Alligator mississippiensis: one gene and its partners. The protein of the gene in region 3 purifies or fractionates together with the protein of the main gene of each other region. This does not show direct contact. Links are inferred from orthologs where the notes say so. Each region holds a gene or a part of one and is shown on either strand. Other genes may lie near its edges. The genes, in order: BPTF, SMARCA1, C15H17orf49 and HMGXB4.

Evidence for each region.
Region 1: the proteins of C15H17orf49 (region 3) and BPTF purify together in Homo sapiens (affinity purification with mass spectrometry; 5 studies listed by BioGRID and IntAct, with this or other methods). This does not show direct contact. The link is inferred for Alligator mississippiensis from reciprocal best matches to the Homo sapiens genes BACC1 and BPTF.
Region 2: the proteins of C15H17orf49 (region 3) and SMARCA1 purify together in Homo sapiens (affinity purification with mass spectrometry; 4 studies listed by BioGRID and IntAct, with this or other methods). This does not show direct contact. The link is inferred for Alligator mississippiensis from reciprocal best matches to the Homo sapiens genes BACC1 and SMARCA1.
Region 4: the proteins of C15H17orf49 (region 3) and HMGXB4 purify together in Homo sapiens (affinity purification with mass spectrometry; 4 studies listed by BioGRID and IntAct, with this or other methods). This does not show direct contact. The link is inferred for Alligator mississippiensis from reciprocal best matches to the Homo sapiens genes BACC1 and HMGXB4.

The regions. Positions count from the first base shown.
Region 1 is NC_081831.1:6,195,249-6,202,542, forward strand, and holds the start of BPTF (nucleosome-remodeling factor subunit BPTF), read left to right. Parts: upstream 1-4,291; 5' UTR 4,292-4,504; coding exon 4,505-5,111; intron 5,112-7,294. UniProt on the Homo sapiens protein: Regulatory subunit of the ATP-dependent NURF-1 and NURF-5 ISWI chromatin remodeling complexes, which form ordered nucleosome arrays on chromatin and facilitate access to DNA during DNA-templated processes such as DNA replication, transcription, and repair.
Region 2 is NC_081831.1:68,936,967-68,944,884, reverse strand, and holds the start of SMARCA1 (probable global transcription activator SNF2L1), read right to left. Parts: upstream 3,004-7,918; 5' UTR 2,962-3,003; coding exon 2,866-2,961; intron 1-2,865.
Region 3 is NC_081838.1:23,752,753-23,760,502, forward strand, and holds C15H17orf49 (chromatin complexes subunit BAP18), read left to right. Parts: upstream 1-4,734; 5' UTR 4,735-4,997; coding exon 4,998-5,018; intron 5,019-5,433; coding exon 5,434-5,528; intron 5,529-5,736; coding exon 5,737-5,838; intron 5,839-5,927; coding exon 5,928-6,082; intron 6,083-6,494; coding exon 6,495-6,596; intron 6,597-7,235; coding exon 7,236-7,300; 3' UTR 7,301-7,449; downstream 7,450-7,750. UniProt on the Homo sapiens protein: Component of chromatin complexes such as the MLL1/MLL and NURF complexes.
Region 4 is NC_081827.1:101,691,212-101,698,794, reverse strand, and holds the start of HMGXB4 (HMG domain-containing protein 4), read left to right. Parts: upstream 1-4,583; 5' UTR 4,584-4,783; intron 4,784-7,544; exon of another isoform or gene 7,545-7,583. UniProt on the Homo sapiens protein: Negatively regulates Wnt/beta-catenin signaling during development.

The DNA of each region.
Region 1 (7,294 bases), on a different chromosome or scaffold from region 3:
GTCTAGGTCAAAATTGAATGGTAATTCTATTAAGAATTGGTCCCAAGAGAAAAGTGTAAATTTGTATAGTTTTATTTGTAGATATGTTTATTCCTATTTAAACTGTTCTTATATTGGACCTTTTTTAACAGCAAATTTTAAGTTGTCTGTCCTTGTTAGGGGCTTAAAGTATCCCTTGACTATGTCCATGCTCTGCTGAAATGTCTGATCTCTTTCACTTTTTTTTAATGCACTGTGAGCAGTGTTCCATTGTTAGAGCGGCTTAAAGCAATAAATCTTATGAAGCAGTACGTATTACACTTGTTTTCTTTATCTTAATGTTGTCCAAAATATTAGCCAAGATGTTAGTATTTATATCGATAATAAAATCTCAGTTAAAGTTCCATGGGTCTCACACTTTGTCTACTGCATCCAAAGTAAAAGCATACTTGAGTATGCTTGTTTAAATATGTGCAACAGAAACGATATTTAAATGACATTTGCATACATAAGTTAAAAGCCAACATATGCATGAAAGTTATGATATAATTTGGAAAGAAGCTTTGGCAGGACAACAAGGAAATGCGTAATTTAAGTATACTAGGAACTCCCTTCTCCAGTGGGCGTACAGCTTAGTCCAAGACTTGTTTTCCCACTACATTTTAAACCAGGGCCCCTAAAAATGTAGAAAATTAATATTTATTTGCCCCGGGTGCCTGTCATGCGGTCCTCGATGGCTTGCCAAAACTCAGTAAGCAGCTCTCCGCCCGAAATAATTGCCCGACCCCGGTTTAAACAAATTGCCAGGTAAGATTATCACCCCAGGAGGAGAAAATTCAGAAGAATCTGATGTTGGCTGAATAATAGGTCTTGATGTTAACAATTGTTAAAGTGAAGGGGGAAGTTAGGAGCAGCTAAGTGTTGATAATAGCTGGAATTGTTTGTAGACACTTGCATAACATTTTTGAGCTTTTCTTCATAACCATAAGAGAATTTTCTGATGCCATAGATTATGATGTAATCCATGCAATTCCAGCAGCAAGGGTTCCCAATATAGCCCTCGGGTGGTTGCTTTAATATAGCCCCAGTATAAGCCTATCCTATTCACTACTCTCTCTCCCTTTCTGCTTTTATCAAACCAGAAAGGAAAAATGAACATCCAGCCCAACAAACTTGTTTTGCATTAAATAATTTTCATGCTTGGTACAACAGAATTCTTTTACTAAGCAAAACAAATGTTCTTCAGCAAATCTCTGTGCTGAGAGGAAGGCCATATAACTTTGAATATGTTCTGTTTGCTAGGTGAGAATACCGCTCATCCTGGTATCTATATTTTCTTTGATAATTAGTTATTTCTAGCAAGATGCTCCAAAGTGAGGAAGTTAGGTGTAATGTGCCATAATCTCTCTGCAGTTCTAGCACGAGCAACAGAACAGAAAATAGTTTGTATCAAAGGTTCAGGCACACTTGCTTTTCTGACTTCAGTTCACCCAGTTTTTATGCCCCCTCATTTTGCTTTGCATTTCAGGTTTGACCTGGGAACAAATTTAAGACAAATCAGCTGGTTTTAGCCTCAAAACCGTAAAGGGCCCTGTTTATACTAAATGTTTGCAAGCCTAATACTGACTTTGGAGGCTATTGTTAAACACAAAGTGGATAAGTTTTGGTTCCAGGGTCTTTAATAAATAACCACTGTATTATTTTATCAAACACTAATTCTATTTGAGCAAAAGTCTAGGGTTTTTTTCCTACCTCTTAAGAAAGAACATGGAGAAAGATCAGTGGCATATGCAAGATTGAAACTCATGTCTTGGCTCCTAGTTGTATGCACACACCTCTGAAGTAGACTACATGCTTTTCTCATAGTTGAGTGCACATGCAGGCGCACACAGGACAAAAGCAGATGAGTTTGGAAGGAGTTCTAGAAGATACAGATTGCAAATGGGATGTAACATTTTGCTTGCTGCTATGGCGGTAGCTGAGTTGTACTGTGCTTAACATGGCTCTGCATGCACCCCTGGGTGCCTGCAAAGAGTACAAATTAATCTAAAAGATGAAAGAAGAAAAAAAATGGATATGGGAGTCTTTCATTTCTACACAGGACAACTTTTACAATCTTTTCTCCAATGCCGATGAAGGGTGTTTGTGCCTGAAAGCCTGCAAGTAAATAATTTTTTTGCAAAAATCTTATTGGTTTAATAAAAGATCATCTCTACTACCAGTCCTCATTGGATACAGGAGTGCGACTTGAGTGCCCTCATTGAAGAGCTGCTGCATGCTTGGTGCTGTGCAGATTTCTCTCCCTAACTACTCTCGGATTTAGCAACATTAAAAAGGCACATTTTAAAAAGAGATTAAAAGACGAGCAAAAATAAGAATGGGAGGCTAGCTAAGCACTGCTGATATATCTGTAACAACTGTGGAGCAAGGATAGATGCCCAGGCTGTGCAGTAACTGCATGGAGGTGTTCAGCCTGTCCAGAAGGAGAGTGGCCTAGCTTTGATGCTACAACTGGATGTTGGACTTTAATAAATTGTTCAGCCCCCCCCAGAAGGAGAGTGACCTAGGTCTGCTTGATGCTACATCTGGCTGTTGCACTTTAATGAAGTGTTGTTCACTCTGTCCAGAAGGAGAGAGTGGCCTAGGTCTGCTTGATGCTGCAGCTGGATGTTGCACTTTAATGAATTGCTGTTCAACCTGTTCAAAAGAGGAGAGTGACCTAGGTCTGATGCTGCAGCTGGACACTGCACTGTAATGGGGAGGTGTTCAGCCTGTCACAAGGAGAGTGACCGAGGTCCGATGCTACAGCTGGATGTTGGACTTTAATAAATTGTTCAGCTTGTCCAAAAGTAGAGAGTGACCTAGGTCTGATACTACAGCTGGATGTTGCACTTTAATAAAGTGTTTAGCCTGTCCAAAAGGAGTGGCCTAGGTCCGTCTGATGCTGCAGCTGGATCTTCCACTTAAAAGTGCTGTTCAACCTGTCCAAAAGGAGAGTGACCTGGGTCTGATGCAACAGCTGGATGTTGCATTTTAATAAAGTGCTGCTCAGCCTGTCCAAAAGGAGAGTGATCTAGGTCTGACACTGCCACTGGATGTTGCACTTAAAATGCTGTTCAACCTGTCCAAAAGGAGAGTGGCCTAGGTCTGATGCTGCAGCTGGATGTTGGAGTTTAATAAATTGAGTGACCTGGGTCTGATGCTACAGCTGGATGTTGCATTTTAATAAAGCGGTGCTCAGCCTGTCCAGAGGGAAAGTGGCCTAGGTCTGTCTGATGCTACAGCTGGATGTTGCATTTTAATAAAGCAGTGCTCAGCCTATCCAGAGGGAAAGTGGCCTAGGTCTGTCTGATGCTACAGCTGGATGTTGCATTTTAATAAAGCGGTGCTCAGCCTGTCCAGAGGGAAAGTGGCCTAGGTCTGTCTGATGCTACAGCTGGATGTTGCACTTTAATGAATTGCTGTTCAACCTGTTCAAAAGAGGAGAGTGACCTAGGTCTGATGCTGCAGCTGGACACTGCACTGTAATGGGGAGGTGTTCAGCCTGTCCAGGAGAGTGGCCCAGTCTGATGCTGCAGCTGGATGTTGGAGTTTAATAAATGGAGTGACCTGGGTCTGATGCAACAGCTGGATGTTGCATTTTAATAAAGTGCTGCTCAGCCTGTCCAAAGGGAGCGTGGCCTAGGTCTGTGTGATGCTACAGCTGGATAAAGTGCTGTTCAACCTTTCCAAAAGGAGCGTGGCCTAGGTCTGATGCTGCAGCTGGATGTTGCATTTTAATAAAGTGGTGCTCGCCCGTCCAGAAGGAGCGTGGCCTAGGTCTGTGTGACGCTACAGCTGGATGTTGCACTTGAAGGAAGTGCTGTTCAACCTGTTCAAAAGGGGAGAGCGGCCTAGGTCTGCTGCTGTAGCTGGACAGTGCCCTGCAATGGGGAGGTGTGCAGCGTGCCCAGAAGGGGAGAGTGGCCCGGTCTGATGCTGCAGCTGGATGTTGCACTTTAATAAAGTGTCCAGAAGGAGAGAGTGGCCCAGGTCTGCCGGATGCTGCAGCTGGATGTCGCCCTTCAATGACCCGGCGCCGCTCGCAGCAGCAGCAGAGACCCCCTCGCCCCCCCGCGCGCGCGGGGCAGCCGCCCCTTCCCCGCTGCCCCAGGGCCCAGGTGAGCGCGGGGGGCGGCGCTGTGTCCGGGCCCGCGCGGCGGCGGCGCCCCCTGGCGGCGCGGGGCGGGGCGGGCGGGCGGCGGCGGTCACGTGGGGCGCTCGGGGCCTGCTGCCGCCCAGTCAGAGCGGAGCGAGCCGAGGCAGAGACGAAGGAACAAGATGGCGGCCGGCGGCGATCCGGAGCGGGGCGCCGGCGATTCGGATTGAGCCCGTGCGGCCCGCGCCGCCCGGCGGCCGCCGCTCTCCCCGGCCCGCAGCCCTCGCGGGGGTGGGGGCCACTGCCCCGCGCCCGCCCGCCGGGGCGCCCGCCGCCCCGCCCCGCCCTTGCCTCGCCTTCCCTTCCCCCCTCGGCCAGCGCCCAGCGATGCGGGGCCGGCGCGGCAGGCCGCCCAAGCAGCAGCAGGCTCAGGCGAGCTCCCCGGCTCCGGCCGGCCCCATCGGCGGGCTGCGCTCGCGGCAGCGCGGCAGCAGCCGGGGCCGGTGGGCGGCCGCGGCCCAGGCGGAGGCGGCGGCGGCGGCGCCCAGGCCGAGGGGGGCGGCCCAGGCCTCTCCGTGCCCCCGCGGGGGCAGCAAGAGGAAGGCGGGCGGCGGCGCAGGCGGCGGCGGCCCCCCGAGCCGGGGCAGGGGCAGGGCGGCGGCGCAGGCGGCGGCGGGAGGAGGAGGAGGAGGCGGCGGCGGAGGAGGCCGGGCTGCCTCGTCCCGCAGGAGCGCCAGCAAAGTGGTGTACGATGACCACGAGAGCGAGGAGGAGGAGGAGGAGAGCGCGGGGTCCGAGGAGGACGAGGAGGAGGGCGACCCCGAGGAGCACCCGGGGTCCGAGGACGACGGCGACGAGGAGGAGATCATGGAGGAGGACGAGGACGAGGACGACGACGACTCCGACTACCCTGAGGAGATGGAGGACGAGGACGATGCCAGCTACTGCACCGAGAGCAGCTTCAGGAGCCACAGCACCTACAGCAGCACCCCAGGTAGCGGGGACGGGGACGAGGGAGGGTCCCGCTCCTCGCCGCCCGCCGGGGGGGGGGAGACATGCAAATCGCGGGGGCTGGAGGCAGGGCACAGGTGCGGGCGGAGCATCCTCTCCCGGCTCCGGCCCCTTCGCTCCCCTCCATCCCCTGCCCAAGTATTGTCCAAGATGGAGGTTGCCTCGCCGCACTTTGGGGAGGGGGCCCCTGCGCGAAACTCGCCCCCTAACTTCCCCAGGTGAGGCCGCCGCAAAGCCGGGACCAGGCTTGTAAAAGCGCGGCGTGTTTGTGGGAGCCTCTTCCACTACTTGGACATGACAATGCTTTCATTAAAAAAATTAGGGTTTTTTTTTTTTTATAACCCTCAGAGCTTTTTTTGGGTGCTTGGAGTTGCTACTGCTTTCATTTAAAACATGAGGGTTTTGTTTTGTTTTTTTACCCCTGCTGCGGACCTCGATAAGACCCTCGCGTGCTTGAAACTTGAACTCTCGCTCGATTGGGTTTTGTCAGTTGAGGGGGTTTCGGTTCGCAGCTCTAGCTCGCAGCACTTGGGTTCAGCGCCGATCCAGCTGTGCGTTTTAGTGAGCCGGTTGGGACACGGGCAGCAGAAACGGGTACGGTAGCATTCGACCAATTTGCCAGCGAGGTGTAGTGGGGAGATTGGCCGCTTCTGTGAATGTATGACACCGTATACGCTTTGTGGAGCGTTTGGGGAAGGAGGCACAGGTTACTAAAACGCACTGTTTGTTTTAATTCCTGGTGGGTTTAGTGGGTGCAGGCAACAGATGCCATCACGTGGCTTCACTAAACTTATAAAAAAAAAAAACACCACCAATCAATTTTTATTTTTAATTCTGTGTAGTTTTGTACGAATTATGGTTTTGCTTTTTGGTGTGTTTTTTTTTTATTGTGAATTGGGTAAAAAATGTGATCACAAAGGGTTTATAGTCTGTTGCAGGAAGCATTGTAGTTCACCTGTTGCAGGAATAGTACTGTGATCAGTTTGATTTCCTTCCCGTAGTTCTTGCTTTAAAGAGGAACTGGCGTCAAGTTAGATGCCACTACCGCTGTAAGCTGCTCTTTTCTTTAGTTATGGTAGGTAATAGGGAGAAACCAATCTCTTCTCTTTGGTCTAGGGAAGTATTTTTGCCCTGACTTCACTGGCTAGGGTTAGGGGAAAAAACCGCATGGACCTAAGAAAATATGAAGTTTAGGGATTGGGATGGGGAGAAGTGCTTGAGTTAGGTGGGTTAGGTGTTTTGACAAAGGACAAGTATTTATTCAAGTTACGTTGGTGGCATTTAAGTGCCTATGTTAAATTAGTATGTTTGATAAAAACTCCTATAAATATGTTTTTATTTAATCATGTTAAAATTTCAGTTACCATGTTAACCTTTAGTAATCTGAAATTTTTACAGCCTGAGCAGCCCTTTATAACAGAGTGGCCAAGCAGTGGCAAGAACTTCTGTCTGTCTTGTAACTTGTCTGCTATTAGTTCAGCTGCATGCTGGAAGGCTTTTTGTTAAGTTACTTTAACAGTTGTTTCTTTCTTTTTTCTTTAAAAAAAAAAAAATTAAAAAAAAAATCGTTACCTTCAGAAAAGAGGCAAGTGAAGAAAATGTCTTTTGCAAATGACACTACAAATTTTCAGCTTGGTTAGCTACAAGTGTGTCCAGTTCCTGCTAAACAGATACCTACCTGTGTCACAAGCAGTACTGCTTCGAGATGGCAGATTGGTTTTATCCAAATCCTGAAAATAATTTTGGTGTGGCATGTGAGCCATCTCCACCTTGTAGGTTGGGTTTCCTATTTGCAGTTGAAGCACTTTGCCAGAATAGTGGTGAGAAAAATGAGTGTTGCTAACCTGTGCCTTGCAGACCAAGTGTGTAGAACAAACCCTTCTCACTAGCCAAATCTGGATACTTAAAATCACATCCCACTTATGTGGCTGTTAGAACACTTGCTACGCAAATTATTGTCTCTGTAGGAAATTAAAAAAACCCCCAATAACTCAGAAATATCAATTTAGTTTTGATGTAAAGCTTGACAATTAGTAGATTCATTTACTGTAGGAACAACTGCTATGGTGTTATTTGCTCCTAAGCAACTATCCATCTTCTGCTGAGGGGCCTGCATATGAATCGGATGATAGAGGGTCTTCCTGTAGTTCAGCATATCTGCTCCAG
Region 2 (7,918 bases), on a different chromosome or scaffold from region 3:
CAAGGTATCAGGAAGCTCGTGAATGCTGAGATGCTGGGGCACATGGAGTGTGGGGGGCTCCCCGGCATGATTGGCAGCAGACCCAGAAGTGAACAAGAAGCACTTCCAGTACACTTTCGGGTCTGCCAGGGAGCACACTGGCGGGCCCCCACACGCCCCCCCAGCTCAGCGCCTGGTGCCTCCTGGGTCTGGGGGGGCACCCAAGGTCCCCCCCCACAGCTGATCACTGAGCTGGGGGGTGTACAGGGGACCCCCAGCGCACTCCCCAGCGGACCTAGAAGTACTTCCGGTCCACTTCCAGATTCACTGCCAAGCACGTGGGGGGCCCCCCTGCACTCCTGTGGGACACTCCATCCACTCCACCACTGCAGCATTCACAAGCCGCACCTGGTACCTCGAGGTATGTAAAAAAACATTTAAAGCTGTGTCTGTGGCTGAATTGCCGATTCTTCGAATCAGCATCGAATCTTCAGATTCTGATTCGGCAAAATCGAATCCGGACAGTGATCCAAATCAATTAATCGAATCACTGTCCCCGATTTGGGCCTAATCTGAATCAAATACAGCCAATTTCGCACACCCCTAATGAACAGCTCCTTTGCCTCATGAAGGAAAAAAATCACAAAACAAGAGCTGAAAGTTCCATTTATAGCAGACATGGAATAGGGCAGGGGTGGGCAAAATACAGCCCGTGGGCCAGATGCAGCCCACCAGGCTATTCTATCCAGTCCGTGGGGCCCCTAAAAAATTTAGAAAATTAATATTTATCTACCCCTGGCTGCCTGTCATGCGGCCCTCAATGACTTGTCAAAACTCAGTAAGCAGCCCTCCACCCAAAATAACTGCCCGACACGGGTATAGGGAATACTCCCCTTACTATGTATGCATATAAATTTGTTTAGTTGAATAGCACAAGGTCAGTCCCAATTCACTGCCTATTGCTTGTTAAATATTGCTGGTTATCTGCATATGAGTTCAGTGCATGATCTGCTTAAATGTATAGCATGTTTTACCTAAACTTTTGACTGTGATTGTACTCTGGCTAATTTCATAGTAGCTGTAACGGTCTCCTTTATAGCCATCTGTATTCCCTTCAACTGTACCAGAAACAAGGAAGGGAAAGCAGCAGTCAAAAGGCAGGTGGACAGCTAAAGTGTGCTCACACTTATCCTTACGTCTGGGTAATATTACAAGATATATGAATTTTTATTTTATTTGCAGATCTAGATTATAGGGATACAGATACTTCCTTGTACACCAGTCAGTTACACGTGAACTTTTATTCAACTACGTAGAATATACTTTTTTGCTTAGATCAGATCTTCGCTAGAAATACTTGTCAGTATAACAAGGCAGTTAAGTGATGCAATTTTGGTTTTAGACACATCTATACATGAAAAAACCCCTAACAGAGATGTTTTTGCTGACATAGATTATTTTGTTCACAGAACTTAATCAGCTGACTCTACATTAGGGGCATTTCGTTTTGTCAGCTATGCCTCTTGAGAATATACTGGGAGTCCTCAGGTAGTCTAAGCATTTCATGATATATAGGTTTGTCCAAATGTTTCATAACTTAAATGATATAGCTTAAGGCAAGAGCAGCCAACCTGCAGCACAAGTGGCTCAGGCAGCCTCCGCGTTAGGCCCGCACCATGCTGGGGAGGGGATAGCACAGCAGTAGACAGGGCAGGTGCAGAAAGCAGAGCAGCAGATCAGGGAGGGGAATGGGAGTGGGAGCGGAGCGGCTCTCAGGGTGGTTGTGGAACTGATGTGTGGCAGGTCTGTCAAAAAGGTTGTTTCCCACTGGCTTAAGAGATTACAGAGATCAACAACACTTTCCCTGTCTATCTTTACTAAACCAGAGATGGCAAACTTGTTAGCCTCAGGCCGAGGGAAGGATGTCGTTCTAGTGGGAAACTGCAATTGGTAGGTCCTACAGTGAAAGAGTCACATCAACAACAAAGGCTGTCAATATACCACCTGCATTTACACCCGTTTCCCAGGTCTGTCTGTACACCGACAGATGGTTATACTAGGGTCTGGTGCAGAGAGAAATTAGCCCTGCAGAAGGAGGTGCCTGGAGTAGGGACTATTCAAGCTCATTGCTGCCAGGTAGCAGCGGAGCCTGGGGCTACCCCGGGAGGAGAGGGAGTAGCGCTAAACCCAAAAATACACTTGGCAGGTGTAACCTCAGCTCCGCGGGGTAACGTTACCCTGCAGCGAGCCACTTGTGCTGGCGCGGGGCTAGACAGCAGAGGCCTGCTCCACATTTACACCAGCGGGTTGGGCATCTCCATCCCAGGCAACGGCTGGGAGCAAAACCGCCGCTGCTTCAGTGAGTCGGGACCTCCTCCGAGCTTTTAATTGGCGCGTGCCAAGGACAGCCCGGGTGCTTTTCGGCACGGGGCTCGCACAGCCAGGCCCAAGCCCCCGGGCATCACGACCCAGAGGGCCAGGAAGAGAGTGCTCCTGCCGCCTGGGGCCTTGCTGGACACACCAAGCGTGTGGCACTGGGGGTGGGTAATTCAGCATCTTCCAGCTCCGCCTGGCAGGAAAAGGCTGAAGTTCAAGGACACCCAGCTAGGCTGGGACCCTGGGGCTCAGCCTCCCCCTCGGCTGCTCTGACACCAGCCGAGGGCGGCCCAGGACACCCCGCGCGGGAAGGCCCCTGCACAAGAGGTCAAGGGCGCCCGCCTGCCCGCCCCCGGGCGCTGCGCGCGCAGCTCCAGGAGCGCCCCCCGCCCTTGGCGCGCAGCGGTGACACCGGGGGAAGGGGGGGGAGCGGCCGTTGGTGCCTCGCGCGCTCCGAGGGTGACGTAGCCCCGCCCGCGCCACCCGCCCCCACGAACGGTCCCCGCGCACCTCCTCGACGCCGGGCTCCTGCGCGGAGGCGGCGGCGGCGGAGGTGGAGGGCACCTCGTCATCCGAGCGGCCGGGGCTGTCGGGGCCGCTGTCCATGGCGCAGCGCTGAGCTGCCGCCTTCCCCTCCCCCCCACCCCCCAAAACACCGCACGGCCCCGCCCTCGCCCCCTCCGTCTCCCGCTCCTCGCATCCATCGCGAGATTTCGACGCGCGACGGGGGGAACGAGCGCCAGAAAAAGTCCGTCCGCTCGCCGAGAGCATGCGCGGGGAGGCGGAGCATGCGCAGTGCGACTGCTGAAGTCAGTCCGATGTTTGCCAGCTGTTGCTGGGAGCCGGGAGGGGCGGGGCAAAGGCGGGTGGGGGAGGAGCTGCGACCTGGGGGCGAAGCGGAGCTGCGGTTGTGTATAAAGATCAGTCTATAGATAGACCTGTATCTATAGATGTATGGATATCCATATCTGTATGAGCTGCCCTCATATATGTATATGTTAACCCATTAATATATCAATATATCAATATATCTATTTAGATAGATAGATAGATAGATAGATAGATAGATAGATAGATGAAGGCAGAATATGAAGTTTTATACAAAGGCAATATATGAAGTTTTATTTATTGTCACCAGGTTTAGAATTTTTTTTAATCCCTGGTATTTACTATAAAAAAAAAAACCATGTATGATGATTATGTTAATATGCAGCACGTCCTGCCATGTATGCACCGCCCCAGTTTTGTTTTTCTGGCGAGGTAGACGGTGCAGTTTTTTCAGCACTTTGGCCAAAAACATTGGCAACCCCCTGTATAAAAGGTGCACACCTGCCCTCATGCCAGCACATCCACCTCCCTCAAAGGGCGAGGTTTATCCCAGGAGGTCTCCAGCAGTCCCAGACCGAGGGCTGGCTATGCCAGAAAGAGCCGGGTAGTAGCTACACAGGTGTCCAGGTCATAGTGCGCATTTCCTCACAGCTGGCAACAAGGATTCCCATTCCCATCCCAAAGGCTCAAGCTGGATCCTCCGTATAAGATGCCCCTGAGTACCTTAGGAAAGGCAGGGTCCACGGCAGACAGTCCAGGGCTCAATCTGAGCTCAGCCTTACGACTTCCCTTAGGGCGATCTAGCATACCCACTGCCTGCACGGTCATTGAGCCTAGCAAATCCCAGGCATGTGATTGAGCCTTCAGAGGACTGATCTTCCCAGCTACCCTCTACTACCTTCCATCTTCCTTAGTCCGTCACAAACTGGTTCTCCTTCAAGCTTCTCCCTCAAAAACTGACATCTAGGTGCAGCTGAATGAGCTCACCTTACCTTAAACCTTCTTTATAGGAATGACCTGCCCAAGACCTCTACTGCCAGAAGCAGTTAGATATGAAGCTTGAGAAAACCTTCCACCGTCGAGGTACAGAAACAGAGACGTCCCTAGGGTGGAGACAAATTGGGGCAACCACCCTGGGCCCCGCACTTTGGGGGGCCCCATGGTCAGTGGCATAGAGGTCCCACTGCAGCCGGCATGCAGCGCCACTCTTGAGCGCTGCCGACTCTGCCGCTGCTGCCGCCAAGCACTGCCGGCTCCAGCCACTTGCCCCACTACCCGGGCCCCGCACAGGCTGATATGCCCAGGCCCCGCATATCACTAGGGATGTCTCTGTACAGCAGCAATGCAGTGGTAAAAAACCCAGTCCCCTATATGAACCTCTGGATGAATCTGAACACTGATGTATGGCATTGCATATGTCTTTATTCATATTACCTCTGGTAGTATATAGCGTGTACAATGTGCTTCACTTGTACGCATATATCCAATACATGTATAATCTGATTAACTGCAGAGCACCATGCCACTCCCAATGTGCTGTGGCATAAGCAATCTATTTGGTAATGTAACTGTACTCCATTTAACAGCATACTAATTGGCACCTAAAAAGGGGAAAGTGGGAAACAATTGTCAGGCTGCTGTTAAAAGTCTTGAAATGCCAAGACTGTGCTGTCCCTTCGTTTTCAAGGCTTCTACCAACTGGCATTAAATGAACTATTAAAAGCCAGGAAAATGACAATGGCTAGTCAGTTGCAGCCATCTTTTTCCAAAATGTAGGCACCCAGGTTAGGCACCTAATTCCACTACATATACTATAAGACATCTTTTTCAACCCATGGGTCATGACCCAAAAGTGGGTCACAAGAATATATGAAAGGGTCACAAGCAAACTTTAAAAATGGATTCTCCTTTAAAGGAGAAAAATGTGGGAAACTGTGGCTTTTCCCTTGTACAGTAACAGAGTTCCAGCCTCCAAGGGGCTGCTTGGGGATCCCCCCTGCCACACACACACACCCCTACCCAACACATTGCGGAGCTGGGGCCTGGGGGCGGGGGCAGCAGTTCGGGGGTGTGGGGCACTGGGTCAGGACCGGCCATTAATGTTTAAAAATTGGTCCTGGTACAAAAAAAGGTTGAAAACCACTGCTCTAAGACATCAGATCTGAGGTAGTGCTGAGTTCTGCATCTTTCTTCTAAGTATACAAGTAGGGGTAGGGGCATTCAACACCTTTCTAAACAGGCACCTAGAAATACAAGCACTGGTCTGGGTCAACTTGTACCAAAAATAGGCTGTTTACTAGCAGACATTGCTGATAAAGACTGCCAAGGAGCAGCATTTCTGCTATTTGCCACTAGATAGCATTGTCAGGCTATGATCTTCCTCCTAGGTCTTTTATACAGGATTCCTAGTAAAGTATCAAAGCTGCTTGTTGTACAACTTGGTTTCAACAAGATGGGGAAAAGGCTTCTAGTTTAGGTTTGTAGACCACCTTACAGCTGTTTTTGTACAGGTATTGAATATTTCAGCTCTGTTTTAATTTAGTACACTTGTTGAAAAGATTGCTTATTTCTTATTGCTTATCTATATAATGCAAACATTCTAAGTGCAACCATATAATAATTGAAATATTCTGAATATAAAGAACAGCATATTTAAATAACCAGATGAATGAGTCATGTTACGCTAAAAAGTGATTACAAGTTGTTTTCAAATAATTTCCTGGTTCCTGAGAGTTCTTAGTCCCAAAAAGAAGGGGCAAACTAATTTATGCCAGCATATAGCACAGTGGATTATACAGGAAAGCCACCCAGAGTTTGCACAGCAAATTGGGAAGTAAGAGTCAATCTTTAAATAACGGATTATCCACTTTGTATTTATTAGAACAGACTTAATATAGTCAGGGTAAAGGGAAGTTCAGTTTTCATCTGCTGCCAGACATAGGCATCAGAAGTGGGAGCAGAGGCCTGCCTGGAATTCTTGGGCTCTTCTCAGTCTTTTCTATTGTTGTGTCTAACATAACTTTAGATTTTAAAGCACAGGGCAGCAGGGGACAGGACTGAAGGATAGAACAGAGGTTCTTGTGTGCACATAAACTGTTGTGTGCATCATACTGCTTAAACACTGTGAATATCTGTTAACCCATCAATCCCTCTGTCCCTGTAAGATCTCTCACATATTTCCTTTGAAAAGAGATGCTTTGCATTGTGTCCTGAAGGTCAGTAAATAAGGGGTAAGCAAATTCCAGATTCAGGAGCTCTTCCATTGACTGATCTGGACCCAACACCTATTTGAACTAAGCTAAGGACTTCAAGTGCTGTAGCTATGAAGTCAAGCTATGACAGGACATGAAAAAGCATGCAGGTTCTGAACCATGAACAGCTCACTAGATCAAAAATGAAGTACCTCAAATAGAATTGCAGGAAAAAAGTGAAAATCAGTATAACCCCAGGAAGCCTATGAAATACTCCGTGGAAGATGTACTGCTATGGAAATAGTTTGCTGTTTCTTGTGAAGCTATGAGATCACTACAGATTTGATATGGACAAGGGGCATCCAGGTACTACTTGCTTGAATCTCTTCCCTAGTATCCTACTGTTTCTGTGAATATGCTTCTTTAAACTATGGTGATTAAAGCATTCTCAGATTATTGGAGATTGTTTTGGTTAGGACAAATTAGTGATGTGAAAAGGTCTCTCTGAAGCAATTCTGTTAAGAAGGCATTTATGAAGTCTTGTTTCCCTGAACATAAAAGATAGTTTCCTTGCTCATATTCCAAGCCTCTTTCAGTCACTATTCTGTCCAGTACGTTTTCTCTAGGATTTCTCAGAGGTCACACTTAGCAAGGCTTCTCCAGGGTTTCCTTTCCAGTCTGCTGGAGTGGCTCCTGCAGTGTTTCTGCCCCTTCTCTGACTGCACACATATAGGCACACACCTGGCATTCGCAAGTCAGTTCACTGCCCCGGTATTTATACTGAACCCACAGCAATGTTCTTCCAACCACACAGAAAGAAGCTGCTTAGGAACATGTCCTGCATGTTTTGGGTAGTGGTTCCTCTTGTTTCAGCTATTGCTGAACATGTAGTTGTTCTTCATTTCGCCTGAAAAGAAGGAAACTATTACGCCCACCAGCTTCTTTCTAAATCTCCAGTTTAACAATAACCCTAGCTCATTTCAGCCAGCCAGTCATCTAAAAGCAGACAAAAAGAAATAAATAATGGTGGTACCATCAACCAACCACTGACTCCAGAGGGGAGGAAATGAAGACAAATTTACAAGGGATACGAGTGTAACTATTTGCAGTATATTGCAATGAACTAGAGGAGTGCAATATTTGTTTAAGTGCATAAAACAATGCCAGATCCAATTTGTTGTTTACAGCCTAGCATTTTCCAGTCCCACTATCTGCTGCATAACTATATTCCAGTTAACTGCATATGAACTGCAACTGTCTACGTTGGAACTAATTGTACTCTGTGTCACAGTACCAGAAACGCTGATGGGGAAGCAGCTGTCAGAGGCTGCCACTAGAAACCTTGGAAATGACAGGAGCAGCCATGAAATTGTCTAGCTGTCTCCCTGAAACTTGCTATTAGAAACCTTGAAAATGATGAGAGCTAAGAGGCCCCGAAATGGAAGATAGCACGGCACAGCCATGAGCATTGTTTATGTTTAATTCAGGTAAGTACATAGTTTTTTTCAGCCCTGAAACCACACTTAAACAGAGCCCACTGTATA
Region 3 (7,750 bases):
CCTGCACCCCTCCATCATTTAATTCATTTCACTGCATTTAATTTAACCAACTGCATTTTACTTTATCTAGATTTAGATAAAATCCAGGCTTCCAGGGGGTTGAGGCGGTGGGGGGGGGAGTGAGGGGCAGGAGCAGGGCCAGGGGCACTTTATTATAATCCTGTAATAAAAGATACTCCTACACCTGTCTTTACATATGGGCAGCTTTATGAAGCCTTTTCGAAGGAGAGAGGTTTTGATCCTGTTAATGTATTCGGTCAAAGGATAACTAAAAATCCTGTGTTTAAAGAGATACTGTTGCAATAAAAATGCAATTGCAAATGGTTTGCGGGTTTCAGCTACTAAAAAATTCATTTAAAAAGTCAATTAAATTAAAATTAATTAAAATATGACCAACCAAAATCAAATCATCAATGATGATGAGGATAATGATTATCATGATAACGCTAATAACAATAATAATAATAAACAAATGAACTAATGAAAAAAATACAAGCAAAGCAAACATAATTTCCAGGTACCTTAAGTATAAAATAAAATGTTCTCCAGGCTTGTCTCATCAAAAAGCAAATGTTGTTGTTTCCACTTCAGTAATAAAACAAATGTTTTAATAATAAAAACAAAAGAAGTAAATGATGTTAACAGATAATAAATAAATACATGATATATAACAGTGGGTAAATACTAGTTGATAGAGAATGAATAAATGATAAAAACAGTAAATAAATGGTAAGTAAATAATAGTAACACATACAAATAAACTATAAAAACAATAAAAAATAAATGGTAAATACAACTAAATAATAATAAAAAATAAATAACCTTTGATAAAGAATAAATAATTATAAAAATGCACAGTAAATAAATAATTGATAGATAATGATTCAGGGATCCTGGATTTCTCTGTTTAAAAATGACAAATTCTCTGATTAAAACCCCCAACATCTGTGTTTTTCCCTGACTACAATGAAAGGCCACTATATGTCCAGGTATCAGTTGAACACAGCATTTTACTGATATATTTACAATTTTAAAGCAACCTGGAAGTTCGCTGGTGCCTCAGTCACTATAATGAAATAAATTCTAAATACCGATACATTTTTAATTTGATTGGGGAGGGGTTTATCATGGAAATACAAGCTCCCCCTGCGCTCCCCTAGACGCGGGTCCACCTACAGCCCCCCCGCGTGCTTTGTGGTGCTGAGCAGCCCGGCCCCTGCTGTTGCCTCTTAACCCCCCCCAGCCCGCAGCCCTGCCAGTTGCCCCCAACTGCCAGGGCTACCCGGGCCTGCAGCCCCCTGCCCCCCCGCATGGGCTCCGCAGGCAGCCACTGCAGACTCGGGCTCCCAGCCCTGCTGCCCTCCCTGGGGTTCCCGTTGCCCAGCAGGCAGGTCCCGGCATGGCAGTGCAGAGTGGGACCGGGCAGGGAAGCTCCTTGCCACTGTGAGCCCCATCCCACTCCCCGCCAGGCCTGTGGCCACACATAGCCCTGGACCCCACACAGCCCCTGGGATGAGCAGCAGCCCCAGCCCTACCTGACTCCCTCCCTATGGGGGACTCAATCTCTGCCCCCTCCCCCCCACCGAGTTACCTGAGGGAGCTGCTCTCCAGGCTGCCACATGCATGTGTGCGCACTCACACACACTGCACCCCTGCCTGAGCTCCCTCCTTCCGCTCCCCCTAGCCCCCCGCAGGCTGCCACTGCCAGCCCACATAGGGAAACCCATTTCCCGCATTTTCTCCTTTAAAGAAGAAAAATCCTTGCGTTTCTCCTTAAAATGAGAAAAATTGTGTTTTAGCATGAATGCAAAACCTGGATCGCTGCTGATAACCAATAATGAGCAGTTTGATTAACAGGATCTTCCTGCGACTTATTGCTTGGGCTCCCTCTTTATTTGCACAGCTACAAGAAGGCTTTGAAGATGCCCAGCTGCAGGGTACCAAAAAGGAACGGAGCAGCTACCACGCACAGTTCAGGATGCGAGATCTGCTCCTGCAATCGGTCAATCTCCTGGTGCACGGATCCACGCCTTGGAGAAGCTGACAAGACCAAGACCCTGGTGAGGTACTATCATTTTCACAGCTAAACAGACTGGACTTGGCTTTGCTTTAGGCTCATTTACCAGTGATGAGTTGCAGTAAATAAAGCCTTTGTCATTCATGCATTGAATTGCTGTGTCAGTCCTTTATGCGCTGGTCCCGAACCCCATTTCCTAACAAGCCTGGAGGTGGGAGAGCCAGGGCCAGAGGTACCCTGGAGGAGGGAGTGAGCTGACCCAGCAGACCAGGGGCTGAGACAGAGAAGCAGGGTGAGTCCCTGGCTGGAGGGGGGTGGGGGGTGTTTCTCCTCCAAGGGCCCCAATCTGGGCCTGATCCTGGGAGTCCTGGTTGCAGGTGGAAGGTTGTGGGGGGAGTCCTCTGAGTGTCAGGACTGACCCCCCCCAAAATCGCACAGGCCAGCAACTGCTGCTTCCCGGCCAAGCTGCATGTGATGCTGGGCAGCTTCTCCATGCCACCACGAGGCCCCTGCCAGGTCCGGGACCAGCCGCCACCACTTCTTTATGACCCCCCTGGACCATGATCCTTTGCTTCTACCCCCCCCAGCAGCTGGGGGGTGGGGCTCTGGGTAACGGGGACCCCTTGCTGGGAGCATCCCTAGCTCCTTGGACAGGCAGGAAGGGGATGAGGGGTTACCTGGTATTGGGGGCATCTAGCACGTTGCTACCCCACGTGGGGGTTCTGAGCCACAGGGAACCTGCTCCGGGCTGGTGCCCCCCCATGTGTCTGTCCCCCACCCTGAAGGTTTTGTCCTGTGCAATGAACGGGGTAGAGCTGGGAGGGCCTGGGGGTGGGGCAGAGTGGGTCTATAGGGGGGAGTGGGGGATGGCTCTATATGGGGGGGAGATTTCATAGACATTAGGGCTGGAAGGGACCTGGGAAGATCATCAAGTCCAGCCCTCCTGCCCCAGGGCAGGAAGTCAGCTGGGGTCATAGGATCCCAGCAAGCTAAACATTGAAATTTCTCTTGAAGGTGTTCAATGAAGTGCTTGAACCACCTCCGGCAGCAGGCTGTTCCAGACCTTAGGGGCTCAGACAATAAAGAAGTTCTTCCTTATGTCCAGCCTGAAACGGTCATGGAGGAGTTTGTGACCATTCGACCTTGTCATCCCTTGGGGCGCTCTGGTGAACAGACGTTCCCCCAGATCCTGGTGGTCACCCCTGATAAACTTATAAGTGGCCACCAGATCACCCCTGAGCCTGCACTTTTCCAAGCTGAAGAGCCGCATAGCTCTCAGCCTGTTGTCGTAAGGTCTGTTTTCCTGACCTCTGATCATACGTGTGGCTCTTCTCTGCACTCTCTCAAGCTTCTCCACATCCTTTTTGAATTGTGGAGCCCAAAACTGGACGCAGTACTTCAGCTGCGGCCTCACTAGGGCCGAGTACAAGGGGAGAATGACGTCCTGGGATTTGCTTGAGAAGCATCTATGGATGCAAGCCAGCGTTTTGCTCGCTTTACCAGCAGCATCACATTGAAGGCTCATGTTCACCTTGTGGTCAGTGATGACCTCAAGTCTCTTTCACCTGTACTGCTAGCCAGTGTAGCACTGCCGAGCCTATAAGGATGCTGCAGGTTTTTCTTCCCAAGGTGGAGAACCTTGCATTTTTCGGTGTTAAACACCATCAGGTTCTTGTCCGCCCATTTCCTGAGCCTGTCCAGGTCAGCCTGGATCGCCCTCCTGTCCTCCGGCGTGGATGCTTTGCCCCAGAGTTTGGTGTCATCGGCGAACTTGGCCAGTCCGCTTCTGACTCCAATGGCCACATAGTTAATGAAAATGTTGAACAATATGGGCCCAAGAGAGCCCTGAGGGACCCCACTGGTCACAGGGCACCACGATGATTGACTTCTGCCAACCACCACCCTCTGGGTCCGACCACGGAGCCAGTGGATCACGGTGAGGCCGGGGCCACAGTCAGCCAATTTTGCCAAGAGGTGATCACGAGATGCCAGACTGAAGGCTCAAGTCAAGATATACGACATCCATCTCCTCTCCCTTGTCCAGGTGACCGGTCACCTGGTCGTAGAAGGAAATGAAATTGGTCAGGCAAGACCTACCTGCAACAAGCCCGTGTGGCTACCCCTCAGGGTGTTGCCATCCGCCGGTCTGTTAAGAATGGCCTCTTTGATAATCTTCTCTAAGACCTTCCCTGGGATGGAGGTCAGGCTGACCGGCCTGTAGTTCCCTGGATCTACTCTCCTCCCCTTCACTGCATGGGCCACCTTCCAGTCTTCCGGCACTTCGCCTGATGGGAGGGGGTGGCTTGGTGGAGGGGAGTGGCCATGGATGGGGGTAGCGGGGTGGTCCCCAGGGCTTTCCCAGGTGCATTGTGGGTAGGGGGTGGGCTCTATTGGGGGGGCTGGCTGTATATTAGGGAGGGGCTGGGGGTTTCCTCTATGGGGGGGGGGGGGGGTCCCTCAAGGGCTTCCCCAGGTGCATGGTGGGTAGATGGGTGGGCTCCATGGGAGGGGGGGTTGGCTTTATGGGTGGGGAGCAGTGGCTCTATGGGCTCCCCAAGGGCTTTTCCAGGTGCATTGTGGGTAGATGGGGGGGCATTAGAGGGCGCCGGTCTACGGCTCCAGGCGGGAGGGGTAGGAAAGAGTTAAAGCCAGCGAGTGGGTGGTCCTCCACACCGCCTAGAGCGCCCGCCATTACCGCCGAGAACCTGGAGCTCCCAATCACCATAGAGACGTAGGCGACTCCGGCGGGAGCGTCTGCAGGGACCACCGAGACGCGCTGCTAGAGCGCTTCACCCACCCCCGCACCACCAAGGCGCTGGAGGATCCGGGCGGCTAGAGCGTCCGCCAACACCACCGAGGCACCAGGTGGTCCGGGGGGGAACGGAGCGGCCGCACCATCGAGACGCCGGCGGCCGACGGGGGCCAGAGCGCCCCACTTCCGGTCGTGCCAGGGCGGCGGCCGGGGCGGCGGCTGGGGGCTATGACTTCCGCCAGCACCAAGGTGGGGTCATGGGGGGCGGGGCCAGGATGGGGTGTGGGGCCTGCAGTGGGGGAGGGGCAGCGAGTTGGGTGGGGGAGGGGCCTGGGGTCCAGGGAACCCCTAAAAGGGGTGGAGGGGGTCATAGGGGAGGGACCACTGGGGCCCCCCATGGAGGGGGAGGGGCTTTGGGGGCAGCTCGGGGGGGGCTCTACAGGGGGGCGGGGCCCAGGGTGGAGGGACCCCCCCGCCAGGGTTGAGAAGCCCGCCCCATTTGTGGGGGGGGAATTAAGAGTACCTACTACGTTGTAGGGGGGCTCAGGGGTGGGATAGGGTTGCCCCCAGGGACTGGAGCTGGGGGAGCAGCAGGGTCAGAGGTCATGGCAGGTGAGGTCAAGGGGTCAGAGCACTGCCCTCAGCCCCCCACGCCCCCCCACAGGTCGGGGAGATCTTCTCAGCCGCCGGTGCTGCCTTCACCAAGCTGGGGGAGCTCACCATGCAGCTGCACCCTGTGGCCGATTCTTCCCCCGCGGGGTAAGCCCCGCCCCCTGCCTCCCACACCCCACCACCTTCCCCCTACACCTGCCCCCCAAACACCCCCAGTTGCCCCCTAAGCCCTGCTGCAGGGGGGTTGGGTCTCGGGGGCTGCCAAGAGGGGGTTTCGGATCGGGGGGGCCACTGGGGAGCGTTTATGGGCTGGGGGCTCCGGGCTGGGGGCCCCCTGACACCCCGCGCCCCCCAGGGCCAAGTGGACAGAGAGCGAGATCGAGATGCTGCGGGCGGCCGTGACGCGCTTCGGCGACGACCTCAACCGGCTCAGCGCCGTCATCAAGGAGCGCACGGTGTAAGGGCGGGGGCGGGGGCTGGAGGGGAGCCCCACACCCCTCAACCCCCGCCCCAGCTCACCGTGGCCCCACCCTCTCGCCCCCCCAGGGCCCAAATCAAGGCTACAGCCAAGCGCAAAGCCTACGAGGACAGCGGGGTGCCGCTGCCAGCTGACTCCCCCAAAAAGGGGCCCAAGAAGGGGGGGCACAGTGGGGTGCCCCCTGCCCCTGACGCCCCCCCTGCCAAGAAGCAGAAGGCCTCAGGTGAGCTGTGAAGCCCCCCCAATCCTGGGGTCCCCCCAGGCAGGGGATTGTGACCCCCCCATTCAATCCTGGGGCTCCCCTGGGCTGTGGGAGGGGCTTGAGACCCCCCCCCATTCAACCTTGAGGTGTCCCTGAGCAGCTGGATGGAGGCTGAGACCCCCCGTTCAGTCTTGGGGTCACCCCAGGCTGCAGCAGGGGTTGAGATGCCCCATTGAATTTTGGGATCCCCCCCAGCTGAGTGAGAGGTACTGAGACCTCCTTCCCATCCTGGGGTCCCCCTGGGTTGCAAGATGGGGTTTGAAACCCCCCCCCCATTCGGTATTGGGCTCCCCCGGGCCGGAACAGGGGGCTGTGTGCAGGGGAGGAAGTGGCAGGGGTTTTCGGGGGCCCCCCACCCATGCTGCTCCCCTAGACGTGACGCTGAGCGCCCTGAACGATGCGGATGCCAGCAGCGACCTGGTTGACATCGAGGGACTCGATGCACCGCCCCCTAAAAAGCTCAACTTCGACCAGGGTAAGGAGGAGCCGGGGGGGCCGCTGGTGGGGTGCGGGGAGGCCTCAGGATCAGCCTGGATCCCCAGCAGATGGTGGGGGGGCTCCAGTAGAGGAGAGCTGGGGGGGCTGTACATGATGGGGGGCCTGGCTGCTTGGGGGTGGTCCTTTGCTCCCTGCATCCCCAGGCCCCGCCCCCTTTCACCAGGCCCCGCCCCCAGTCCTTGAGATTAACCCCCCCCTACTCTTCAGCTCCTCCCCTCTTCCTCCAGGCTCCACCCACCCCCAGGCCATATAGGTCCCAGCCTCTGCCCCAGTCCAGGCTCTGCCCCAGTCTGCATAGGCCCCACCTCTACCTTCTCAGCCCCACCCCCCTTTCCTTGAGACTTTCCCTTGGCTTTGGAGACTCCACCCTCTTGCCCTGACCCTATTTCTCCAGGCTCCACAACTTTGCTCTATGAGCCCCAGCCCCTTCAGCAGGCCCCACCCCCTTTTCAGCCTCCCTGTCCTTTCCTTCTCTAGGCCCCACCCACTCCAGTCCTGGCCCCACCCCAGTGTCTTAGTCCCAACCTCCCAGGTTTAGGCCCCACCCCCTCCTGCTTTAGGCTCTGCCTCTCCTCCCCCCCCTTTCAGCCTCTCTCTGCTCTCTCTCCTCTCCCAGACAGCCTGACCTTGGACCCTGGGCTGCTCATGACCACTGGTGACCTGCCCCTGCTGTCGCGCTGACCCTGGCCAGCCAGACCACCGGACACCACCCTGAGCTTGAGGGGGCAGGACACTGGGGGTGTCCATCCCACCCCCCAGCCCCATCACTTGTTTTGAGGGTAGGGGGCTTGGGGCGGAGTGTGACAGTGAATAAAGGGCCTTCCCCTCTACCGCCTCCTGTGTGCCTCAGTTTCCCTTCTGGGAGCTGGTGGGGAGGGACCCGGCAATGCAAGCCCAGGGGTGGCTGGGGGGGGGGGGGGTGGCAATGGGGTGGGTCAGGGAAGGGGCAAGGGCCGGCATCAGGAATAGTTGACAAGGTTTCCACATAGCAATTAAGAGTCACATGGTCTCTGGGTGGCATTTGCATAACTAATGAGTGCATTTGCAAAGCTAATGAGGGCTGAGCACAATGGCGTAGGCAGCCTGCGTCATCTGCCATTGGTGGGTTTGCCCATAGGTAATGAGCACCGC
Region 4 (7,583 bases), on a different chromosome or scaffold from region 3:
TCCCTGTCCCACCAGCACAGACCTGAGCCAGGGTCCACCTTGAGCTCCCCGCTTGCTGCTGCAGCTGTGGGGGCAGGAGCACAGCCAGAGACCAGCCAGCATGGCCCCCTGAGGCAGAGGAAACAGGAAGGGGTTTATTCCCCACTCTGTCCCCAGGGGGCTGCAGCTGGGGTCTGCCTGCCCTGACTGCTGCTGCTGCAGCTGATCACTCAGTACGTGGGGCGAGCAGCAGGATAAGCTCCCTCCTGCCCCCTTTACCAGAAGGAGGGGGGAAATAACCCCTCTCCCTCCCCCTCACCTAAGGGAGCCATTCTGGCTGGCCTCTAGCCGCACCCCTACCCATGCAGCTAGAGCAGTGAGGGGGGAGCAACTGTGACAGGGGCAGCAGCCCCTCTCATGGGGCCCCGGGAGCAGAAGCCTCTTCCTGCCGGGGAGGCTGCATTGCAGGCAGGACTGGGGCGGTTAGAGCTGTCACAGACTGTGTGAGTGGAAGCTTCAGCTCTGCAGTTTCTGTCAAGCGTGTGCAGCTCTGGTTCCAGCTCCTGCTGCTTTCCACCCACCCACCCCCCGCAGGGCTGCTCATTGCACCAGGCTTCTGCCCAGTGCACAGAGCTCTGGCTCAGAAAGCAGAAAGCGCAACCCAGCCCACAGCTCCAGAGCATGCTGGGATGCTGGGGGGCTCTGGTTTAACTTAAACCAGGAACAAGTCTAGGAAAGAAGTTGCATAAACTGGTTTGACCCAAATCAGTTAAGTCTGATACTACATTCAACCAGGTTTATCGTAAATCAGTTTTGGCCATTTTGAAACTGGCTTATGTGCACTGAACTTATGTTCTATTACAGGTTTAAACAGGTTTCTGATCACTTAAGCCGTTTTATGTGTAACTTCTGTCCCTAGCCCTGGGGTTTAGGAACTCTCAGTTCTATGTTCTGTTGTAAACTATTTGTGTGACCTTGGGCAGGGGCCTCAATGCCAGATTTTTAAAAGTATTCACAATCATAAAGATGTACATGAGCACTTAGTGGGACTTTTCAATAGGAGACAGTCACCTAACCTCAGCTTACGTGCTCATAGATTCATAGATGTTAAGGTTAGAAGGGACCCCAATAGGTCATCGAGTCTGACCCCCTGCCCTGGGCAGGAAAGAGTGCTGGGGTCAGACGACCCCAGCTAGGTGCTTGTCCAGTCTCATATTGAAGACCCCCAAGAGAGCACCACCTCCTTTGGAAGCCCATTCCAGACCAGAAGTGCTTCTGGTCCACTTCCAGATCTGCTGCCAAGAATGCTGGGGAGAGCCCCCCCCATGCTTCTGTGAGACACTCCATGCACCCCAGCATTGCAGGACTCACGAGCCCCTGCTACCTAGAGGTACGTAGAAAAAACATTTAAAGCTGTCTCTATGTCCAAATCACCAAATCTTTTTGAATCGATTCAGAGGGTTCCGATTTGATTGAGAGAGATTAAAGGGTCCTCTGATTCGATTCGGATTCAGAGATTCAGCCACTGAATAGGGCCAAATCTCCGCCAAATCGAATCAGGGACTAAAGCTTCACACAGCCCTACTGCCCAGATCTGTATGCTAATAAAATCCCTGGATAGTCCAAAAGAAGGAAATGCTAGGTTGTTTGAATACAGGATGTAAATTCCTGTGTTCCATGCTAGCTAGCTATCTTCACAGATTGACTCTGAAAAGAGAGATTGACTGAATTTTTTTTTTAGAATAAAGGAATCAAAACTCTTGGAAGAGGTGATATCTTTTATTAGACCAACTAGATATTTGCAAACAAATCATTGTATGTATCTGCAAGCTTTCAGATGAATTTTTAGAATAATTTTTTTTTAGAATAACTTTGTTTAGAATAGTTATCTACTGATGAAAAGTGCCATATAAAAGCTAGGTATTATATTAATATTTTGCAGGGTTAGGAAGAGGTTTGGATGGATATCATCAGGGGAAGTCTGAATGATGTATAGCCTTTTAATGCTTCAATGGCTTTATGTGCAAATTTCATGCTATAGTAACTTGAACAGTAATAAATAAAATGGTTCGCTTCAAGGGAGCTGCTCCTTTCTGTATTTTTGACTGAATAAAAAACATGCACTCCCCTGCACGCCATCACAGACACAGTCTGATACCTCTGAACCGTTAGCTGATGAAATCATTAAACTTCAGGAGACCTAGAATCCTTTTTATACCAGGGAGCAGAATAGGAAACATGCTATCAAGCTACTAGATCTCTTTATAACTTCCTTGCTATCTCTAAACCCTATTCCAAATCAGCCTTCTCATTTTAAAAGCACACTGTTGCCCTCCCTGGTGATGTCACACCTGCCTCCTCCCTATTCATACTCATGCAGTCTCGACCAAGCCTGTCCAATCTGATGTCTGTGAGATGACAGTAAATATTTGTAAAACAAGTCGTATTGCCATGAGGGCTGCAATATCGGTCAGGAGTAATACTTGGTGAAACCATAAAAGCTTTGTGACAAGGCCATCTTTTCATTGTGTGGATATGGTGCCTAGCAGTGGCGTACCAATGTGGGGGGAAATGCCCCTGGGAGATGGCCTGTCAGGGGGGAAGGGGGGTGCAGGCCGGGCCCTTCACAGGGTACTTGGTCCCCTGGTGGCACTTCTGGTGAAACCAGAACTGCTGCTGGTGTTTCCAGGCTTGGAAATCACCCGCCAGGGGACCCCTCCCTCCCCCTGATTGGCAATCAGCTGCAAACAGGGTGGGCACAAATGCAGGCATTGGCCCTCGGACACTGGAGACCCACGGTATGTCACTGGTGCCTAGCAGAATGGGGCACAGACCTGTGACTCCGAGGTCCTCCTACAATACAAACAATAATCTGGCAAAGGCAAGACTGGACTAGCAACATCATGTACTGCTGAATGCCTAGCAAGTTCTAGGTGTGAAATTCAGGCACAGGAGCAGTACTGATGAAATCTTTGCTCCGGTAAGGAATGAATATGGACAACAAGGAAAAAGGCATCTCCCCTCTTTTGGCAGGGACTAGAGGAACAACAGCATTGTAGGGAGAGATCCGTATTGATGGTGGGGGCCAACCTAAGGCATGTAGATTTGTGAGAACGCGTGGAATTAATACCGTTTCAGGCCTTGATCCCACAAATGTTTCATTGGCACTGTTCTGGTAAGTAAACCATGTGCACACTTAGGGGTTGTTATGACAAGCACTGGCACTTGCTGTGTGTTTACACACTGTAGACACTGACAGTGAGGGCTCCGGTCTCCACCAATGCTTGGAAGCCATGGTTCTCAACCTTTTCAGACTCAAGGCACCCCTTGAAAAATGCCGGTTCTTAGCTTTCACTCTTGATTTGACTCTGGAAAGACAACTGAGCAATTCTTCTACTACAAAGTTCTCAGAAAGATCAAGCAGATCCAAACATTTTCAACACCGTGGATTCCTATTTGAAACCTCTGGTCTGAGCTAGCAAATCCCAGGCCCGCACCTAACAGTGCTAACAGTGTGTGGCCCCTGGGGCACCCCAAAAGGATCTCTAGGCACCCCAGGGTGTTGTGGCCCCCCGGTTGAGAATTGCTGCTTGAGGGCCCTATTACGCTGCAGCTGATGATCATTTGGAGTGATCTCTTATTGCACACACTTCATATAGTAATCATAGTAATATTTTATAACAGAATGTATTATATGTAATAATATATAACACAATAATGCAATATATAACACAATATATAATACATGATCTAACATAATAATGCACTATATAACACAATATATAACACGATGCAAGATATAACACAATATATCATATAATATATAATGTAAGGTAATATAATGGTGCAATATATAATATTATATATATGATGCAATATAATATGCAATGAAATATAATGGAATATATGAAATATCTTAACATCATTTAATATAGTATAGTATATTACATTACATTATATTGTACTGTAGTATATATTAACATATTAATTTATTGATATGTCAATATATATCACTTGCATGATCAGTATAGCATTTATCATCATGCCCAATCTATTAATATCATTAATAACATTAGTGTGTTAATCCTGTATAGATATATAAATAGATAGATAGTGCTTCATTTTAATCATGGAAAAATGTCGATTTGGGGTTCCTTTTTTTAAACTGAAAACTCGGGATTTTTTCAAATCAAAGAAAACCAGGATCCTGGAGTATCACCATACCCTGTCGCGGCGCTCTTACCCGGCACTACCCGCGTGCCCGCTTGAGGTGGCGGGGGGCGCGGGCCCTTTAAGCGCGGGGGGCTTCTGGGACTTGTAGTCCAGGCCCCGCTCATGTGACCAAGCGCGGCCGGGCTCGCCCGTCACGTGACGCCCGCTGAACCCTGGGGCAGGATGCGAGGCGAGGTAGGCGGCGGGGGGGAGGGGCCTCAGCTTGTGTTCCCCGCCCTGGGGCGAGGCGAGGCGAGGCGGTGCAGCCGGGGAGGGCAGTCCTTAGGGTTCACCCCGATGTGCGCAGCAGCGGCCGAAGAGCCTCGGCTATCGATGCGCTCGGCGCTCCGCTGCTTCTGCTTGGCCGGCGGAGCCGCGCGGCGTCTCTCCCCGCCCCCCTCCCCCCCTGCAAGATGGCGGCCGCGGGCTGTGGCGGTGGCGGTGGCGAGGCGGGAAGCGGCGGAGCGGAGTGAAGGGAAGCGGCCGCTCGGCCCCCTCCCCACCCCCTCACCCCGGGCCAGGCGGCGGGAGGACCCCAGGGCTGGCTGGAGGCGCGGGGCCGCGGGCCGGAGCGAGGCTGGAGCCCGCCAGGGTGAGAGGCCGCGCGGGGCCGCTTCAAACTGTCGAGACAGGAAAGCAAAGGGAGTGAGACGGGGATGGGCCAGGGCCAGGGCCAGGGCGGGGGGGGTCCGTGGGACACTGGCCTACTGGGTGCACACAGTTAATGTGGGCTTGAGGCCCACAGAGCAGTAGTTACCCCCTCCGCCTCCCCCCCCACACTGTTATTAGGGAGGCTGCTGGGGGGGTGTCGGCTGAACTCTATTAACGAAGGAGAAAACAGGCATGGGAAGCTCAGAGTGTCAAAATAAGTGCACCAAAGGGTGACACCCACTGGCCCTTAAACAAGTGCAGGGAGCCATTGGATACTGCCCAGTGAAACTCTGCCCAGAGACATGAATGGATGGGGGACAGGAAAGCAGCCACGCAGTCCCCAAGGGTTCAGTGGGGCACAGGCCTTTTGATGCGGGACAAAGCCCCCCTTGCTGATGGGGCATGGCACTGATTGCTTGGGACACAAAAAAATATAAAACGGGAATGGGAGTGAAAGCCATAGGTTTGAAACGAGGGCACCAAGGGGGGACATGGAGCAGAGTACACAGTACTATGCCCACCGGCCCCCAGATGGGTCTAGGGAGCCAGTGGGCACTGCCTGGTGAAACCCTGCCTGGGGACATGAGCAGGCCAGGGACAGGAAAACAGCCCTGTTGTCCCCAGGAGTCTGGGACACAGGAAACTGGGCACGGTGGACCTCTGGTCTGACCTAGCTATTGGCAACTCCTATGTTCGTATCTGGCCCTTAAGATTGTAAGCCTACTGTGGGGGAGGGGGCAGGAAGCTGTCATTGTCCTTGTTTCTTATATAGACTGTGGTATTACGTGAATTCTACCTAGGACTTGCCGTATGTGCCATTGGGGTTTCACATGTTTTCATGATGGTGTGACTTAATTTCTGTGCCCAATACTTCTTCCGAGTAGTTGGAGAACAAATCTCTTCACTTTGTGGACTGTAACAAAAACTTCCTACTTACTTGTATGTGTTTGAGGAGGGAAGGGTTTAGAACAGTCATCACCAACCAGTGGATCAAGATCCACCAGTAGATCTCGGAGCCTCTTGGAGTTGATCTGAAGCTGGGGTGGGGGGCTGAGTGCCTGTGTGCGTGCACACACGCGCCCCAGCCCAGCAGCTTAGTCCATGGGGGAGGGAAGGGACAGGGGCTAGATGGAGGCCTGTGTGGTGAGGGACAGTGCGGCAGAGGCAGGAGCAGGGGCAAATTGAGTGGGGCCCCGGCTGGGTGGGACTTACCTGCTGGGGAAGTGTGCCCCCAAATATTTTTTTCTTCCTCTGCCCCATCTGCCCCCCCCCCCCCCCTTCTCTCCCCGGACTTACCTGCTGGGCAGGGAGGGGTGGCAGCAGTGCATGATAGATCTTGGGTTGCTTTTAAATGCCAAAGGTGATCTCCTACTTAAAAAGGTTGGAGACCACTGGTTTAGAACCTGCTAAAGGCTGAACAGATATTTAATGTTTTAATATCAGCCAGTAGTTTATACAGCTTGGAAGTGTGTCCATGTATTTTAATTTATAAATATAGTTATAGAGAGAAATTTCACACAGCATGAAAAGGCAAGTTCTCTCCCCCAAAGAGTTTAAAATGTAACCCTAGTGTGGCATGATGGTTATCTCAGCTAATCAGAATATTGACTGCTCGGTTTCTTATTCATAGTTGAACATTAAAAAAAACACAATAAAATGTTGGCTAGAACAGCTTGGTTTTTTAAATGTTCTATTTCTACCAATAAGTTTGTCTCTGACTGAAGAATACAAGCTGTTTTCTCTTAGAGAATTGTAATACAGCTATTGCATAATGGTAAAATAAACAACCATCTCTTACCTGTACCAGCAACCATATATCAGCATGGCTCAACCTGGAATTCCCTCAGCAGGCAGGGGCTGGGAGTGCTGCAGAGGCCTTAGGAAAAGGGAGTGCTTTCTTCCTTTCTTTCCCCTCTCCCAGGTTGGCACTCAGAAGGGCTCCAGTGATATGGTTTGGGTTAGGGAATGCAGGTCTTTCTGAAGGGTGTACATCTTCACCCAAAAAACCTCTAGTCAATGTAACAGAACTGAAATCTGCTCATTGCATACAATCTAGCCCCCAGTTGGGTTCTTCTCTGTCTACCCAAATACAGGAGTTTAGAATTTCTCTTAAAGCAACCCACTCTTACAATAACTGCTGACAGTTAACAGTTTTGTCATCATCTCTGTTTTCAGTTTGTGTGTCATTATGAAAACCAGTGCAAGCCTTCTGACTATACCTTTTTCATTTTGTTAAAATACATGTTTTCATCAGCTTGATATTTTGAAGTGGAAGGGGGTTCTTTTTAACTCTATTATTAACACCCCCCAAATAATATAAGTTATCTAGAGCAAAGCATACCAAGCTTTAAGCATGATTATGAGCTCACAAGGAAGCACACTTTCCCCTTCCCAACTTTCTTCTAGTGAATTGCCGTGCAGTTCCATACGAGCGGTTTCCTCTTTGCCATTATGATTCTACTTAAGATTCTACATTATTTTCATTCTCTGTTTCTTAGACCTTTTTCTTTAGATGGGAACAGGGGAAGGAGCCCAGATGTGGGAACACATTCTCAGGCTCCTGCAAGACCACCAGGGCTTATGATGGCTCCAAGAAGAAAGAAGGTATGACTGCTTCATAATCTGAGAGAGTTGCCACAGCCTTTGCCGGCCTATGTAGTCAGAGTGGGAAAAGAAGCCAGTCTGCTAAACCCTAAGGCATCAGGCTGGGTTTCCACAGCGTTCCAAGCCTGTTCTGGCCT